2 linked regions of the Oreochromis niloticus genome follow. The protein of the gene in region 2 purifies or fractionates together with the protein of the main gene of each other region. This does not show direct contact. Links are inferred from orthologs where the notes say so. Each region holds a gene or a part of one and is shown on either strand. Other genes may lie near its edges. The genes, in order: histone deacetylase 2 and rreb1a.

The links.
Region 1: the proteins of rreb1a (region 2) and histone deacetylase 2 purify together in Homo sapiens (affinity purification with mass spectrometry; 4 studies listed by BioGRID and IntAct, with this or other methods). This does not show direct contact. The link is inferred for Oreochromis niloticus from reciprocal best matches to the Homo sapiens genes RREB1 and HDAC2.

What each region holds. Positions count from the first base shown.
Region 1 is NC_031980.2:30,565,665-30,574,325, reverse strand, and holds the start of histone deacetylase 2, read right to left. Parts: upstream 3,830-8,661; 5' UTR 3,691-3,829; coding exon 3,636-3,690; intron 2,110-3,635; coding exon 1,997-2,109; intron 1,905-1,996; coding exon 1,787-1,904; intron 1,510-1,786; coding exon 1,435-1,509; intron 371-1,434; coding exon 232-370; intron 90-231; coding exon 1-89. UniProt on the Homo sapiens protein: Histone deacetylase that catalyzes the deacetylation of lysine residues on the N-terminal part of the core histones (H2A, H2B, H3 and H4).
Region 2 is NC_031974.2:1,762,780-1,771,191, reverse strand, and holds the start of rreb1a (ras-responsive element-binding protein 1), read left to right. Parts: upstream 1-4,762; 5' UTR 4,763-4,992; coding exon 4,993-5,032; intron 5,033-5,038; exon of another isoform or gene 5,039-5,177; intron 5,178-8,412.

The sequences.
Region 1 (8,661 bases), on a different chromosome or scaffold from region 2:
TCATAACTCTGTCTGTTGTGTAGAAGGCCTCCTCCACTCCATCTCCATGGTGGATGTCTATGTCAATGTACAGCACCCTCTGGTGGTACCTGGTAAAGAGGGCCACAGACAGAGCTCGGATGAGTACAAACATTGCATAGAAACAATGTTGTGAGAAATGGGTCTTTCACCTGCTTTCATTTAATGATTTTTTTATATGTAGATGGGAAACAAAGCAGGAAATATTCTCACTTGAGCAGCTCCAGGATGGCCAGCACAATGTCATTGACGTAACAGAACCCTGAGGCCTCAGATTTCTTTGCATGGTGGAGTCCTCCTGCCCAATTCACTGCAATGTCTGTCTGTTGTCGGTTCAGCTTCACTGAGCCAGCTGTGCAGAACAGGAAACATGTTTGATTATGTGGTTTGTAAAGAAACTGATATATATCTGATGAGTTAATCACTTAGTCTAACTTTGTTGTCATAACCTGAAAAATTGTTAGTCAAGGCTGGCACTGAAACAGCTGGACAACAGAAAGCCAAGAACTTGTTCCTGTAACTGTGCTCTCCAGGAACAGGTGACAATAAAAAGAATTTGCTGCCCCAGTCTAATGACCACTGCACTGACTTTGCTTCTCAAGGATTTGACTGACAGTAATGAGGTCCTACATGAGCAGTTACAGCTTTCTGTCTGTCCTTTTATAGAGGACTATTTATAAAAATGGTTGGGGCTAACTATACAGATCATGTTTCATTCTACTCAGGTTGATGACTTGTCAACAAACACAGTGCTTGTAGCTTGTACCACAAAGCAGGATTTGGGGTTTAGTGAGGGAACTTCAGGAGTCCCACCAAATCCTCAGGATTACAAAGGTGGTTCACAAAGTTACGCAAAACAAGATTAGTATTCATTATTATAGGGTCTTGTAGGGGATTCAATCCTGACCTGTTATTCCAATGACAGTCATGTCTCTAGGAATATTATCCTTCCAAATACAATGTAGAAATGACTGAGAACCACAAGACTTTTTAGATACAAATAATTGTGTTATTCTGTTAAATTGACAGCGTCTATTAATGTTACAAATAGGCAGGACTGTTGTTACAGATAGGTACAATGTCGCTGAAACAGGAGGTTTATGACTTCCTGATGTTCCTCACAAAATATTGTGAGTGTTGTGAATGTCATCACGTGGTGCATGTTCCTGCTTGTCTGCTGTGGCTCTGTGGGAAGTAGTGTGTCAGCTGGCAGAGGCAAAGACAGCACTGTGGGCACTGATACTGCTATAAATGAGTAACTAATCCGATCATCAGTTTTAGTATCAGTTAGGATCTGAGTATCTATTTTACAGTATATCTCTAACATAATCATTCAGATAGCTTGACTCAACTGACTTATCAAGACCTTTTATATGACCGCTTAGCAACATCTGATTCATCATTAGCACAACTTACCAGCTGAACCACCAGCAGACAGTTGGCAGAACTCAAACAAGCCATCGAATACCGGACAGTCCTCCCCAACATTGACTGCAGAGTAAATAAATACATAAATAAATAGGAAACCCCAAAACAGGAAGGTGTTCAAAATTCCTACTACAGAACTTTCTTACTCATACACCATAACCTAAAACTCCACAACTTCCTGACTGTTCAGTGTTCACATCTCAGACAATTACACTCTTTGGCTGAGTAAATAGTTTGAGCAGTATGAATGGAAACAGAAGAGCAGAGGAGCTCCTTGTATTCCGTACTTGGAATAGTTTACAAAATTCTGTAATGTCCCAAAGAGGACACGATGACTTACACCTCTGCATCTGTTTGCTGAACTCTGACATGTTGTCTGGTCGTATGGATCGGAGGAACTTGATGTAGTCATCACTGTGATATTTTGTCATCTCGTCTGCAGTGGCTTTGTGTGGCCTCTGAAACACAAGACAAACCAGCTGGGTGGAAACTACAACAAGGAAGGCCAGAACTTACGGTATGCTTAGTGTCACATGCTTGGAAAACATACATAGACCTCCATCTTCCTGTACAGTCCATAGTTCAGAAGTAAGTTGTGGGTCATCCGGATACGATGTGGTTTCATGGGGTGCCCCTGTCCATAGTAATAATTTCCTATGTCACCTGCAAAGACAAAAGGAACGAGATGAGAAACACATTTCCATCCGATAATAATTATTAATTGAAGCTGTGAATGAAAATAAAAATGGATGCTTTTCAGGGTCTCTCTGACCAACAAAAGAGATTTTACACTCCAAGTCACAGTCACTCATTTACATATTCTATAAAAAAGCACATTTTGTATTTTTCATCAAAATTGACAAAATGCAAAATGTGTGCACTGTGCTTCTTTTTTCCCCCTTCTTAATTATTGGCTGTTCCTGTTCTAATAGTGACCACAAACACCAAACAAAAAGACCAAATAAAACCCCCATATGTTAAGGTATTAGCTGTTTTAAATCTTTGAGATATTCTGTGGCTGCTAACTTAACAACTAGCATGACACAAGCATAATGCTAGAACAGCAAATAACAGAAAAGGAAAGCGAACAGAGTTTTTCTCAAAACAACAACAGCGGGCAACAACAGCAAGATCAGTCACGGTGTAATACCATAAGTATCATTCAAGCATTTTTAATGTAACTGGAAAACTATGTTTGCTTACCACCAAGAAGTAGATCACAAGACTGTGCAGGTCAAACAGTGATGTTTACTTCAATTTTACCTGCACATGCAGTTATCCTACAATAGCTCACTACACCTTCTTCAGACTATGAATGAACTCCTGATCTCAGTTGCCAATATTATTAAAAAGTATAAAGTTCACGAGGCTGTAGCCAACCACCCAGTACACGGGTGCAAGAGCAAATGCAACCTCAGAGGAATAGCACGGACAGTAGAAAAGAGAAAAAAACAACTGGGTTGTTGTGTTTAGTGAGACATAAAAAGCAACATAAAAACAACAATAACACAGCATTTGACTGTTAAACATTCAGAGGAAAACTGAATGCACGGTTGAGTTCTAGTACATGTAAACTGAATGCAGGGCTATGTGTGAACAAAGTTAGTTTTTACTGCGAGTCTCTGCAAACCTCTGACAAGACACTGTAACTATGTTCCCTGTACACGAGGAATACAAATAAGTGGTTTCTCTTATGAGATAGTGTGATGTTAGACAACACGGTGATACGCTCTAATAAGGCCTGAGCACTTAATTGTGTGCAACAGTGGCACATTTTGCTTTATTATTTTCACGAATGTAACTCTGACGTCGACTCATCAGTTCCTAATCATTTTGATTTGACAGAGGTAACGAGGTGTACAAAGCCCGTGCACAAAGTTATACAATCGTGACAATGAATGCTTGTGTCGCTAATTCTCAACATTAATTTAACCGAAGCCCTCCTCTTTTCTCTGGCTCGGTTTACGTAAGGTGATTTTTTAAAACTTTTACTCATTTTAACAGTTAACACACGAATACTCTCTTTGCACCGCGGAGACCTTTCAAACGCTGGTCATTAGCGCCTACTCGTTAGCTTGCTAGTGTTATTTTCACCATTCACCAGCAGCTACACTGACTAGCTGGCTAGCGTTAGCCTGCCAGATGGCTCAGTTTGGGCTCCCCATTCACACGCTCAGGATGTCCCATACCGTCGTAGTAGTAGCAGACCTTCTTCTTTGTCCCACCTGCGGTCGTGTAAGCCATTTTAAAAGTTCCTCTAGAAATAAAAAGTTGGTTTGAATGTGCTTGAGCAGACAGAAGATGGGATGGACGGCATCAACACATAACTACACACGGCGGAAAGTCGGTGAATGGGAGGCGCAACTTCGGCGGGGAGGGGCGGGTCAGACAACTTCGGTAGGCCACTTACCCCACCGCGAGGAGTCCCACTCAACCCAGAGTATGGTAAAATGGACTTTCAAGGATGTGTGAAACATGGTAAAAACGCGCTTCATAAAATTCAGTTCCACCGCTTTATCCTTTACATTAATTAATTTCTTACTACCATGCAATAGAATTAGAATTAGATTTTTTTTTCTCCAGTTTTCACCTGGTTTGGTTGCATATTTATCCCAGAGAGAATTTTCTGATTTCCTGCATTGTGCTAGATATCACAAAAGTCATTTTTGGGCAATGCCCTGATTTTATTCTGCGCTTTAAAGGAATTTTAAGAGAGTAATATCAAAAAAGCCAGTATAGATTTGCACATGGACTTAAGGCAGAGCTGGGGCTGTTAACTTATCAGGTTGTACAAGAGTACTAATCAGTTCTTCTTCTTATCCACAGTTAAAGTGTTGTTATGGAGCTATATCTGAGTGGAAGGCTTTTGAGAACCAGACCACATTTTAACAAGTCTGATATCTGAACATTATATATCTATATAGTGAAAGTTGGGGAAATGTCCACTTAAAGAAAATCATGGCAGACAGAATCCTCTCATAGCTTGACATAAGTGGTTCCAAATTCTTTGTGCACCGGTAATCCTGTACAGTACTGTTCAGATACAACGCAATCAATGCCAATGTAGAAATCTCTGATATATATGACTATATGTGTAGTGTGTAAATTTTTTGCTCCACTGCCCCTGCATTTTCCAAATGCAGACATTTTTACTTTAAAAAAAATATTGATATTGTAGCGGGTCAGGGTTGTTAAGGGGTTTTGTTATTATAGTTCTGTTTTCTGTTGTCATAGTGATGAGTGACGCGCTCTCTCGGGGAGAGAGCGCCTTTTTTGTTCTTATGTTGTTGTTGCCGCGCTGAGGAGGGAGGTAGCGGCAGTGTTCTGGGCCGGTTGTAAATAAACGGGTGCTCCCAAAGAAACCTCTGTCTCCTCCGTGTCTGAGCTCGCCACATTGGTGTCAGAAGTGGGATTGCTCACCCTCGCCATAATGGAGAGAGACATTCGGAGGCTGGAGCAAGCTGTCGAGGAGAGCATCCGCTGCTTGGGAAGCTGGCGATCGAGGAGAGAGGAAGCGAGCAGCCATGTAAGTCCCCCGACGGGTCCCGACGGCGCGAGCGCACCGCAGCGGCGGCCCATCGCGACAGACGCTGGGGCAATGCTTCATGGGCTGCCTCTGTCGACCGACACACCGAGCCCCCGACAGCGAGCAGTGATGCCTGCAACGCCAGCTAAGGTACCGAAATACAACGGGCTAACCCCGCTAGAGCCCTACCTCTCACAAGTACGGCTAGCCGCGAGGCATAATGTCTGGAGCGACGAAGAGGCTGCTACACACCTAGCGCTAGCATTGGAAGGAGATGCACTGCAGGTACTCCTTGACCTAGCCCCGTCGGAGCAGCATGAGCTCCAGGCCCTCACCATAGCACTCGAGAGGCGATTCGGGCAGCGGCACTCCACTGATCAGAGCAGAGAGCAGCTGACCAACCGGAGCCGTCGGCCGGGGGAGAGCCTGGGCACCTTTGCAGTGGACGTGTTGCTGCATGCTCGTCGTGGCTACCCGGAGTTCCCAGCAGCAGCCCATGAGGAGCTTAGCCTGCATGCTTTTCTGCGAGGACGTTTTCCAGAGCGACTATGCCAACACGTCCGCCTGGCCATGCCTCAAACTCTCTGTGAGGCGCTCCTTGAGGCTGAGAGGGCCGAGCTGGTGTTCACCTCGCAACCTAACCAGCAGGTGCCCCCCCCAAACATGGAGGAGATGTTCGCCCCACCATTTCCCTGATACGACCTGGCGTGCTCCCTGGAACGTCCGGGCCATTGGTGAAGGGTTGGTCGCCCACCGACACCCAGCTGATGACGGTGACGGGTGAGAGGGCTGATATGCGGGGGAAGAAACCGTTGCGGGTCCGAGTGAAGGATCTGGAGCTGGTGCATGACTTCTGGCTTGCTGACATTCAAGACCAGTGCATCATCGGCCTTGATCTGCTGACCCACTGGGGGGCCTGCGTCGACACCGCAAAGCGGGCTATCACTCTTGGCACAGAGACTCTTGCCCTCCAGTGCGGTCAAAAGCAGGGAGCAGAGGGAACCAGAGCCAGACGAGACAGGCGTCGGGCGGCTGCCGCTCAGCAGATTTCGGGTGCTGGTGGCTCCGGGTCATCTCTACTCACCTCAGCCCCGGCCTCTCAGCCCGACAAATCTCCCTCGACCGAGACAACCGAGGCTGTTGGTGACCTGTGGCAGCGCAGCAGCGTAGGTCTCAACGTTGACCAGCGCCAGCGGTTGAGGTGCCTCCTGGACGAGAATGTGGACATCTTTGCCGCCAGTGACAAAGACTGCAGGCAGACGGGGCTGGTCCAGCACACCATCGACACCGGCTCTGCTCAACCCATCCGTCTGCACCCGCACCGGCTGCCCCTCTCCAAACGGCAGGTGGCGGAGGAAAAGATCCGTGAGATGGCTGCGGCTGGGGTGATCGAGCCGTCCAACAGCCCATGGGCGGCACCCGTAGTCCTGGTGTGAAGAAGGATGGCAGCCTGAGGTTCTGCGTGGATTTTCGCTGTCTGAACGCAGTCACCAAGAAGGACTCGTACCCGCTTCCACGGATCGACGAGGCCCTGGATTACGTTACCGGCTCCAGCTGGTTCAGCTCCCTCGACCTACGCAGTGGCTACTGGCAGGTGGAGCTAGCCCCCGAAGCAAGGCCTAAGACTGCATTCACCATTGGACAGGGGCTGTGGCAGTTCAGGGTCATGCCATTTGGGCTTTGCAATGCGCCAGCGACGTTTGAGAGGCTGATGGAGAGGGTGCTCGTGAACATCCCTCGTAGCCGCTGTGTTGTGTACCTGGATGACCTGTTGGTGCACGGTGGCGACTTCGACAGTGCACTGTCTCACCTGAGCGAGGTCTTCAGCGCCATCCGTCGAGCTGGGCTGCGGCTCAACCCTGCGAAGTGCCGGGTGTTGGCGAGAGAGACTACGTTCTTGGGCCATGTGATCAGCGCTCAAGGTATCGCCACCGATTCCACAAAGGTGGCTGCGGTCAGGGACTGGCCGACTCCCTCGAACGTCAAAGAACTGCGGAGCTTCCTGGGCCTAGCCTCCTACTACCGTCGGTTCATCAAGGGGTTTGCGATGATGGCCAGCCCCCTCCACCGCCTGACTGACAAGTGCCAGCTGTTTGGCTGGGGTGATGCCTGCACTGCGGCTTTTGCACAGCTGAAGGAGGCCCTCACCAGAGCCCCAGTTCTGGCCTACCCCGACGCCCGGCAACCTTTCATTGTGGACACTGACGCTAGCAATGTAGGAGTCGGGGCGGTCCTTTCCCAGCAGGGCGAGGCTGGAGAACGAGTGGTGGCATACTTCAGCCGTGCTCTGGGGCGAGCCGAGAGCAACTACTGCGTGACCCGGCGGGAGCTGCTGGCCGTAGTGCTAGCGGTGCGGCACTTCCGGCCATACCTGCACGGCTGCCGGTTCCTCCTGCGCACTGACCATGCATCTCTGACCTGGCTCCTGAATTTCAAACACCCAGAAGGTCAGGTGGCCCGCTGGCTGGAGGTCCTTCAGGGCTACGACTTTGAGATCCAGCATCGGGCAGGTCGGCAGCATGGCAACGCTGATGCCCTCTCCAGACGGCCCTGCATGGCCGTCGAGTGCCGCTACTGTCTGCAACAGGAGGAGCGGGCCCAGGAGGTGCTGGGGGTGGCTACTGCTCAGGCCACAGCCAGCGGAGGGGGGTGGCTCCCATTGACAATGCAGCAGCTGAAGCGGGAGCAGGAGGCCGACGCGACGTTGGTTCAGGTGGGGGCCTGGCTGGAGGCGGCGCAACGCCCAGACTGGACGGGGGTGTCGGGTCAGGAGCCCGAGGTGAAGGCCTACTACTCCCAGCACAACAACCTGGAGACCCACGACGGCCTCCTGTACCGGAGATGGCAGGCCCCCGGTCAGGGCAGAGATCTCCTGCAGCTGTTGGTGCCTCGGTCGCTGCGGTCGCAGGTGCTTGAGCTTGTCCACGGCTCGGTGGGGGCAGGCCACTATGGGAACGCCAAAACTCTCCGCCGCCTCAGGGGACGGTTCTACTAGCCTGGCTGTCGACGGGATGTGGAACTTCACGTGCACTGCTGTGACACCTGCACGGCGCAGAAGGGCCCCACTCAACGCTCCACTGCCCCCCTTCAGCAGTACTTGGTGGGGGCCCCGATGGAGCGAGTGGGAGTGGACGTCCTAGGGCCTTTCCCCGTTACGGAGTCAGGGAACCAGTACGTGCTGGTGGCGATGGACTATTTCACAAAGTGGCCGGAGGCCTACGCGGTACCGGACCAGAGTGTGACGACGACGGCAGAGAGGCTGGTGGAGGAGATGTTCACCTGTTTTGGGGTCCCAGCTGAGCTCCACAGTGACCAGGGGCGCAACTTCGAATCGAAGGTCTTTGGGGAGATTTGCCGGCGGCTGGGGGTGGAGAAGACAAGAACCACACCGCTCTACCCGCAAAGCGATGGCTTGGTTGAGCGTTTTAACCGCACACTGGCTACCCAGCTCGCCATTCTCACCAGCCGCCACCAGCGGGATTGGGACCAACATCTGCCCCTGGTCCTTTGGTCGTATCGGACTGCGGTTCAGGAGTCCAGCCAGTGCACGCCTGCCGCTTTGATGTTTGGGCGGGAGCTCCGGACGCCTGTGGATCTGGTGTTTGGGTCCCCCCCGAGCCGGAGATTGACGGTGGGCCAGAGATGGACTACTACAGGAGGCTGAGGGAGCGGCTGCAGGTGGTTCACGA
Region 2 (8,412 bases):
TCTGTGCAGTGAGGAGAATAACTCCTGCTGAAAGGAAAAGCCATGCTCGTTTCCTCTGGGAATCTGGTTCAGGTGATGAATCAGCATCTGCTGAGCTTCAGGAGATTCTGTCTAACTTAAACCTGTTGGTGTTAAAACTGCCCCCTGACGTCCTGAGAGGGAAACTAAATGAGCCCAGCCTACCAGCAGAAACAGAAATATCAAAAAGCTTTTCAATTTCTACTTTTGTCTGATGACCTTTATTCTAATGCAGCATTTATGTGGTTTTCTTTTAAAACCAAAGAACGTTCTTGGATCCATTCTTAGTGTTCGGTCTACGTGCGCCTTTCTATTAATTACTGTAAATAAAAAATGGAACAAGCTGGATGTTTGTGAAATAAGAGGCAGCTCCATAGCACAGGTACACTCTTGTTTGTTTTCCTTAGAAAATGATACTCATTACACTTATTGTCCCACTGCTGCCCCACCTCCAGTGCCATCATGTCACAACAGTTTAAGGGCCACTGCTTTAATACATCAGCCCCACCCAACATACCCCAGAGGAGGTACATTGTTCTCTGAGGTCCTTAACAGTGGAGTGATTTGCACAAAGGTCAGTGCCGCCTTGAAATCGCGGAGCAGGTTTCTGTAGTGGAGAGTTTCAGCCTCATAAAGTTCAGGCTCTGTGAGGGTTCAACTCTGAGCACTGAGTGTCAGAGATCGCTCGTGTTTTATGACCTTTAGCTTGGTATGAAGCGCGATGCTCCACACACTGTATGTAGCCAACGTGATGTCAACCACTGATTTTGGAGGCTACGTTTTGAAGCCTCAGAGTTTGTGACGGTGCCATTGACGGTGTAAATCGTGGACATAACCACTGTGGAAGTGCCTAAAAACCTGCATTCTGTCTGAGAGCCACCAGATGGGGATAGCTGTAGTTTCGAAAAGATTTCCAGTCCTGTACAAGTTTATGGAAATACACTTTTTTTTTGCTGAGACACTCACTTTGTGTCATATTGAATAAAATACTGAGCCTGTTTCATAAATTTAGATCATACCATGTTTCTAAATGGACGATTATCTTTTTCCACGGAACTGCAAGCTCATTGGCTGATGAATTGTCAGTCATAAGTCACTAACCTAATCTTCCTCATCACATCTGGATTTTTCCTACCAAGATGGCTCAAGCACAGTGGGTCACACTATAACTATCTCCATATTTTACAATGGCTTTAGTTGGTATATTGTTTTCTTGGAGCCGGAATGAGCATATTTGGAAAAATAATGGACTGCTGAGTCATTAGCTAATGCTAGCTAGCTTTGTTTGCTAGCTTTAGCCATAAAGTGCATGGTTATATCACACTGACACAGATACCCGCTAATAACATTTCCATTCATATACATTACCTTTATTAGGAAGAAAAGAAGCTATGGTTCGTTAGCTAAATTTGTTAAGTTATGTTACATAAATCTCTCACTAATAGTCCATTAGCTTGAAAATCTCAAGCTAACCCACTAGCCACCAGTGTTGCCAACTTAGCGACTTTGTCGCTATATTTAGCGAGTTTTCAGACCCCCTTAGCGACTTTTTTTCTAAAAAGTGACTAGCGACAAGTTACACAATGTAACTCCACCAGTGTGCCAATTTCATGTCACTTTTGCCAGTCCAAGCCCAGATAAAGGAGTAGGGTTGGAATTGTGACATTAAAAAAAAAACAATAATTGCTAAAAGACATTTAATTTGTAGTTGTAAATAAATTCTAAATGCATTTAGGACGTTTTTAACTCACTTTATGTCGCTTCCATGATGTTATTTTTCTCTCCTACAAGGTAGGTTACAATTACATTAGCATGACCAATTATGCAAATTAGGTGATGACGTCATTTAGCGACTTCTAGCTACTTTTAGGACAGCCAATAGCGATTTTCCTTACTGAGGAGTTAGCAACACTGCTAGCCACATCAGCCCCAGTATTTTGGATTAATTAAGGTAAGATATGTTAGCATAAGATAAGTTTTATTTATTCCATCTTCAAAAAATAAGTTTTTTTTTACATGGTTAGAAATTAAGCTAAAGACTACAAAAATCCTTAATGAGTAGAATGGCATGTAGCTCATAAGGTAGAACGCATACCACAGAACTATCGTAATAGTCAAAGTAAACACAAAATTAAATAATTTGTTTTTAGGTGTATAGTTTTGCTGTGCTGCATAGCTTGTTATTGTTGTATTGTTGTATTGGTCCATGTTAGCAGACAAGCTAGTGTTAGCTAGCTGTAATCAGAAACTCTCTCATTAGACTGAATGATTTTGAGCATTTGGGTAAAACTAGCTTTCTTCTGGCTAATGTTAGCCAATGTTAGCATACCTGTTACACCAGACAGCTTGCTAACCCATGTAGCAGTTAGCAGGCTAACTTTAGTTTGAGTCCTGACTAAACTGTAAGATCAACAGTAAATTTCTGGGATTAAAAAGTACCAGTATGATATTATCTTCAGGGATTTTGATTATGAGCCACGAAGTTATAGCCATCAAAGCAGATTCAAGATGAGCTACGACACTCTGAACTTCATGTCTGTATAAAATTGAGCTTATTTGAATAAAAAACGTTTTACTGTGAAAAACAAGTACTCTACCCATAATCCTAAATCACTGTTGCCATAGAAACTTTTAAACCCATGAATTTCTGTTTGCTTTGTGACCGTGAAACTTCAGAAGCAGCCCAGGCAATGATTACAGCCAAGAATAAAGCACCGTGCTATAATGATAGCTAGCAGTGCTATCAATATGACGCATTACTGAAGTTACATGACATTTTTCAGTAACACAGTAATGTAACATGTAACTGTACTACATTCAGGTCTCCTCATTTTCTTAAATCACCATGGTGATGGCTTTAAAGTGTCTTTGGGCTGGTTAACATCTTCTTTTTTCTTTATGTTGTGAGTGTTGTGTTGACACTTACACATCTTATATGTGTCCTCATTAGGACAGGGGTCTGTGTGAGCGAGCCTCAGGTTTATACTGGTAACTGTAGCAATGCATTTCAGACCATATTACAGACTCACACCAAAGTAACGAGTAAGTGGAAAGGGTTACTTTCTCCAGGAAGTCATTAAGTAACACTATGCACTACTTTTAAAAAGTAATATCTCACCCCAATACTGGTAACTAGCCTACACGCACACATACACAACAAATAATGAAGAGGATTAAAAGTGCCAAGGTGAATGTGAGAGTTGCACTGCATTGTGGGAGTAGTTCCTTCAGCTGTAAAAGTAATCATGTACACAGACTTTGCCTCTTTTAGTTACTCTTTTTTGATCCAAATCAAACTTTTTGTGTTCATGATTCACCTCGTGGCTAGTTGGCTTCATTTTAGGGTTACACTTCGAATGTCAGGACTTTCTTAAGGGTTTTACTTCCAGAGCCTCCCTGTAGAGCTCTGTACCTTCAGTGTTTATTCCTGTGCTGGGCTGCCCGATGGTTCGCTCCGGCTGAGGTTATTCGTGTGTGAGGATGTAGTGGGGTCTCGAGGCACTCGGGAGCTCACATAAACGTCACATCCTTTAGATTTTCATGGAAAGTTGACACACAGCATCCACAGGGAAATCAGATTTAAGTTTACAATACTTAAGAAATAGAAACAAAGAAGCATTTAACTCATAATCAGTAGACTCAGTGCATTGGAGTTCTTTGAAATGAACTTTAATGTGAAGTGAAAATGTTTTAGTTTGTAATTTTACATAATCCTGTCCAAACTAAAACATGTGCATGTTGAAAATAAAACATGGGATTATTGAGTTTGAGCTAATCACCACTATCGCGGGTCACATGACTCCTGCTGCGTGTCCATGGATGGAGCACAGAGGTACCTGCACGTGATTTAGTTCGACTTCAACGTCTTTATGTGAACTTTCGAGTTTCTCCCCCACGCGCATTTCTTCGCTTCATCCCGGAAAACAAAGTGACTGCTTCACCAACACCTCCCTGGAAACGGTAGCACAGTCTTCCACAGCCACCTCCCCAGCTTCTGGCTGACCCTATGCATCCTCCCTCTTTGAAATCGCGTGCAGAGCTCTCGCGATAGATGAGGCAGCTGCGCGTGTAGCGTGTGTGGGTTTAAAAGGATGGTTTCTTATCTTTTTAGCCCCCGAAACTCCGCGTAAATGATAAAGGAGCGGCGTAAAAGCGGGTTTCTTTGAGAGACTCTGAAGCGAGGCAGGAAACGAGGGGACTTTCTGGCTGTGAGAGGACACGCTGGGTGAAAATGTCAATACTTTGAGGAAGAAAGTTGCTTAAAAGTGAATATTTCCGCGCATTAAAGCAGAAATCCGCAGCGCACGCGAGTTAAATTGCGCACCGCGAGGCCTCTGCGGACTTTTGAAGTTTATTTTTTGGTTTCAGAGCTCTCAGGTGGGATCGTTTCCTGTTCCATCACGGCTGGAATAAGTAATCCAGTAACGGCTGTCCGTGTGTCTGTGCGTACTGACTGAGATGCTTGGTGGCCACGTCCCCTTGGAAACTGGAGACAACACGTGATGAGCTTTACTTATCAGGTTTAGCGAGAGAGTGTGCGCAAGAGCTACAGAGAGAGAGAGACCGAGAGAGGGAGGAAGAGGAGGAGGGAGCTGGGAGTTAAAGGAGTTTAAAGTATAAAACATCTCCAAAGCGACATTTTCCTCTCCACGAGTCGACTTTTTTCTTTCCTCCTCGGGAGGGAAGAGAGGAAGACAAGCAGCAGCAGCACGGGAGGAGGAGGAGGAGGAGGTGGAGGAGGGGAGGGGAGAAAAGGAGGAGGAGGAGAAGCCGGAGTAAAGTTTGTCCAAGTTTGCTCATCCATTCGGAATACGCCATTTTGAGTTCTCTCCTCTGCGGAGCAACTTTGCAGCCTCTCTCTCCCTTTCTTTTTTTTTTCTTTCATCACCTTCATCATCCCCGATCACCGCCGTTCATCTACCATCATCATCATCAGCCCCCCCCATCACCACAACCACCATCATCCTCGCCACGATGTCTCGGCGCAAGCAGCCCAACCCCAACAAAGTGAAGCGTAAGTGTCCTTTTCGTCTCCATCGCTGAGTTTTGGTGCTGTGCGAGTGTCTGCGCAGGCTCCCCGCGCTGTTTGCGCCTCTCGGGGAGAACTTTGCGCCTGTTTGGGCTGCCAGGGGTGAAGTTTGAGCGGAGATGTGGAGACGGTAAGGGTGGCGTTACTACTTTTCTCTCCTCTCTGGGCTGCTTCCTAGTTTGATGCGCATCCAAGCGGTGGAATTCAGTCGTGTGTGTGTCTCTTCCTCATTCAGCAACTTGTTGTTTTTCGACTTTTGGTGCAACTTTATCGCCCCGTGTGCACGTTTAGGGCAGTTATTCGGCGGTTTTTGCCCCGCGGGGAGGGTGTTAGGAGGCGTAGGGAGGTGGGGGGGGAGGTCAAAGTCTGCAGCTCGCAGCCGGAGTCGAGCATCCATATCTCGGATGCACTTTGGTCGAAGCCTCGGGGCTAGTGGCCATGTGTAAAACTAAGCGCTCAAGCGAACGGCAACCGACGGAGTACTTCCTCAAAGACACTTCTTCAAAGTAAAACAACCTGTTGCACACGGAGAACCGTAAGGGTTACCTCACGTTTGGTGTTAGTAAGCGCTCTGACCTGAAATTGATTCAGACTTCAGCTTTGAAGCTAATGGTTTTAACTGTGGTTGAGTTTGCTGATGCTTTTCTTTGTGAATGATGGTTTTCTCACCGTGCCGTCTGGCTCTAGATGCTTTTTATGGGCTTGTGAAGGCACTGAAGGTCTTATATAGGTGCTAATACATCTAAAGCAGGTTTAATGGTAAAATTATTCATTTCATGGTGAAAATCACATCACATATTGCTCTTATATTTAACTGTGTGTGAAAAAAGTCACAAAAGCCTCCTTTACTTAGTATAATGTACACACATCCGCAAACGTGTGGATGTGAGTTTAAGTCTGTTGGCTTAATAAAAGAAAATATAGCTTTTATTTTGGTGGCTCGACTTCCGCTAATGGCAGCGAGCTCGACGCCAGCGCGATGACCTTGCCCAGACATATTTAGGTAGAAAGGGACCCCCGTTCATTCACGAACCGGCCCAACACGGCGGCGAGGCGGCCGAACTCGCCGGCCCGCTCCACCTGCGCCAGTTTTTGCGGCAGTTGGGCGACTTTTCGCCGCGTTCCCGACACTTTTCCACCGTCTGTGGTTACGCGCAGCAGCAGCATCGACGTGACGCCTGTTGCATCCACCTTCTCCTCCTCCTCCCCCGTCCTCGAGCTCCGTCTTTTCTGTCTTTCGACATCATCCTCGGCTCTAACTTCCATTTTAAACGGTAACCACCGGGCGCCCCCCCGTTTTAACCGCCCCCCAGCCCCAAAGCGTCGACTTGGAGAACTTTTTCGCGGCGCTGTTAGCCGTTAGCCTCCTCGTCGTGTTTTTTTTTTTTTTTCCTTTTTTTCCGCGTTGGTACACGACGGAGGATGCTGGCCGGGCTGTTAAATAACTCCCATAACGCGGTTTTACTGTGTCAAAGAGGCGCTGTTATCGGTGTCCGGGTCAATGATTGATGGCCGCGGAGTTCGAGGAGGGAGAGGAGATGGACCGATGGCGTTTTTCTCGGTCTCAGGCTGGACTGGTTAGATAATGGTTGCTAGGGATTTTCTCTCTCTCTCTCTCCATGTTGGCCCAGTGTCTCTCTACCTCTGTGCACCTCCCTGCTGAGGAACTTTAACCTCACTGTAAGAGGAGTCTGTCATTGTTTAAAGCACAGAGGCCATCGCGGCTCTCAGATACAACACAATTTTATACACAATAAATGGACTTTTATTCTAATTACATTGAATACAGCGACTCTGTGGTGACTTCATGGCTTTAACTGTAACTTTTACTCCCTTTAAATCTTTAAAAAGTTTTGGCTTGTATGTTTGGAGCACAGTCCAACAGTAGTTAATTGTGTCCACAGTTCATCAAAAGTTGAATAAAGTCGCTTTAAAGTGGGTTTGTATTCATGTGAGTGGGTTTGTTTTTGGTAGTTTAGTTTCTGGAGAATAAATCCTTTTAATTTTCCTTCTGTTTAACGTTTTCTCCAATTATACTGAATAAAATGGACCCATTTTATGGTTCGATGTAGGGTGTTGGGTGTAAATTAAGTTATAGAAGAAAAAAGTTGAATTAAGCTCATTTTGTTGACGTTTGTGTATATTTTTTTGCGTTTAGCTCAGCCTATGACTGCTGTCGGCGCAGTTTGGCTAAGCTGGCTAACTTTCAGTGCTTTTTACAAAGTTTCGTAAGAATACAAAAAGTGCTTTTACTCTAATTACTTAAACAGTACAGAGTTTTTGGCAATGTGTTGTGAGTGATTAATAAGAAATACGTCCTTCTGTAGTTCAGCATCCTCAGGGGAGTTTGGGTGGTGTCCCACTTTACTTGAACCTGTTTATTGACTTTTGTTAGTATGTTTTGGCTTTAACATAATCCCATCATCAGTAATTAAGGCCATGATTCACTTAAAGTGGGTTTATGGTTGTTCCTGTGGGGGTTTGCTGTAAGTTTAGCTATTTTTTTCTTTCATACTCGTTTTGGGGCAGTTTTTGTTTTTTGTTTGTTTTTTTGTTTGTTTGTTTTTGTTTTGTTTTGTTTTGTTTTAAACAAATCCATCATAAATTGAGGAACAGCGAGTCTTTGGTGACTTTATCACTTTCTGGAGGACTTTCAAGCTAACTTTTACCCCCTCCCTCTTCATGTAGTCTGGATTGACCAGTAGCTTGTTTGGCTAATGTTAGCGACCTTTACGCGTGTATTATTGCTTCGTTTTGTAACTTTTCTTCAAACATTTTGCTGTTTAACGCACTCCTGTAACGTCTGTTTGTTGCTGCAGTCCAGCTCAGCTTATACAGACACACTTTAAAGTGGATTTATGGGTTTCATTAGGGACTTTGGCTTGTTTCAATGGCAGTTAGCGATGCTCTGTTTCCATATTTGTCAAGCTGTAACTATTACTGAGTTTTGGCAAGATGATTGTGACTTTACTTCTATAATTACAATCTTTAGTGCTCTGGTAGCTCTCTAAAAGGAAATTATGGTGATTTTGTAACACTTTTACCCACAATTGCTTTGGTTTTTTTCCACATTTTCTGAGAAAGTGACATTTCTCTTTGTTTTATCTATAGAAATGCATTTGTTCACTACATGCTCACACTTCCACAGAGTGTTTGTGGAGTTTTTAAACCCTGTGATGTTCCTGAAATGCTCTTAAACTGTGTTTGATCTGCTAAAGAGTGGATTTAATGTGACTTTGAGGAGATTTGGAGCATTATTTTCTGCAGTTTATCACTGTAGCTTTATTTACAACGTTTCTTTGTTTTAATTCCTTTTGACTATTTCATTGAAACATCTGTCAGCCGCGCACTGCAGGAAGAATCAT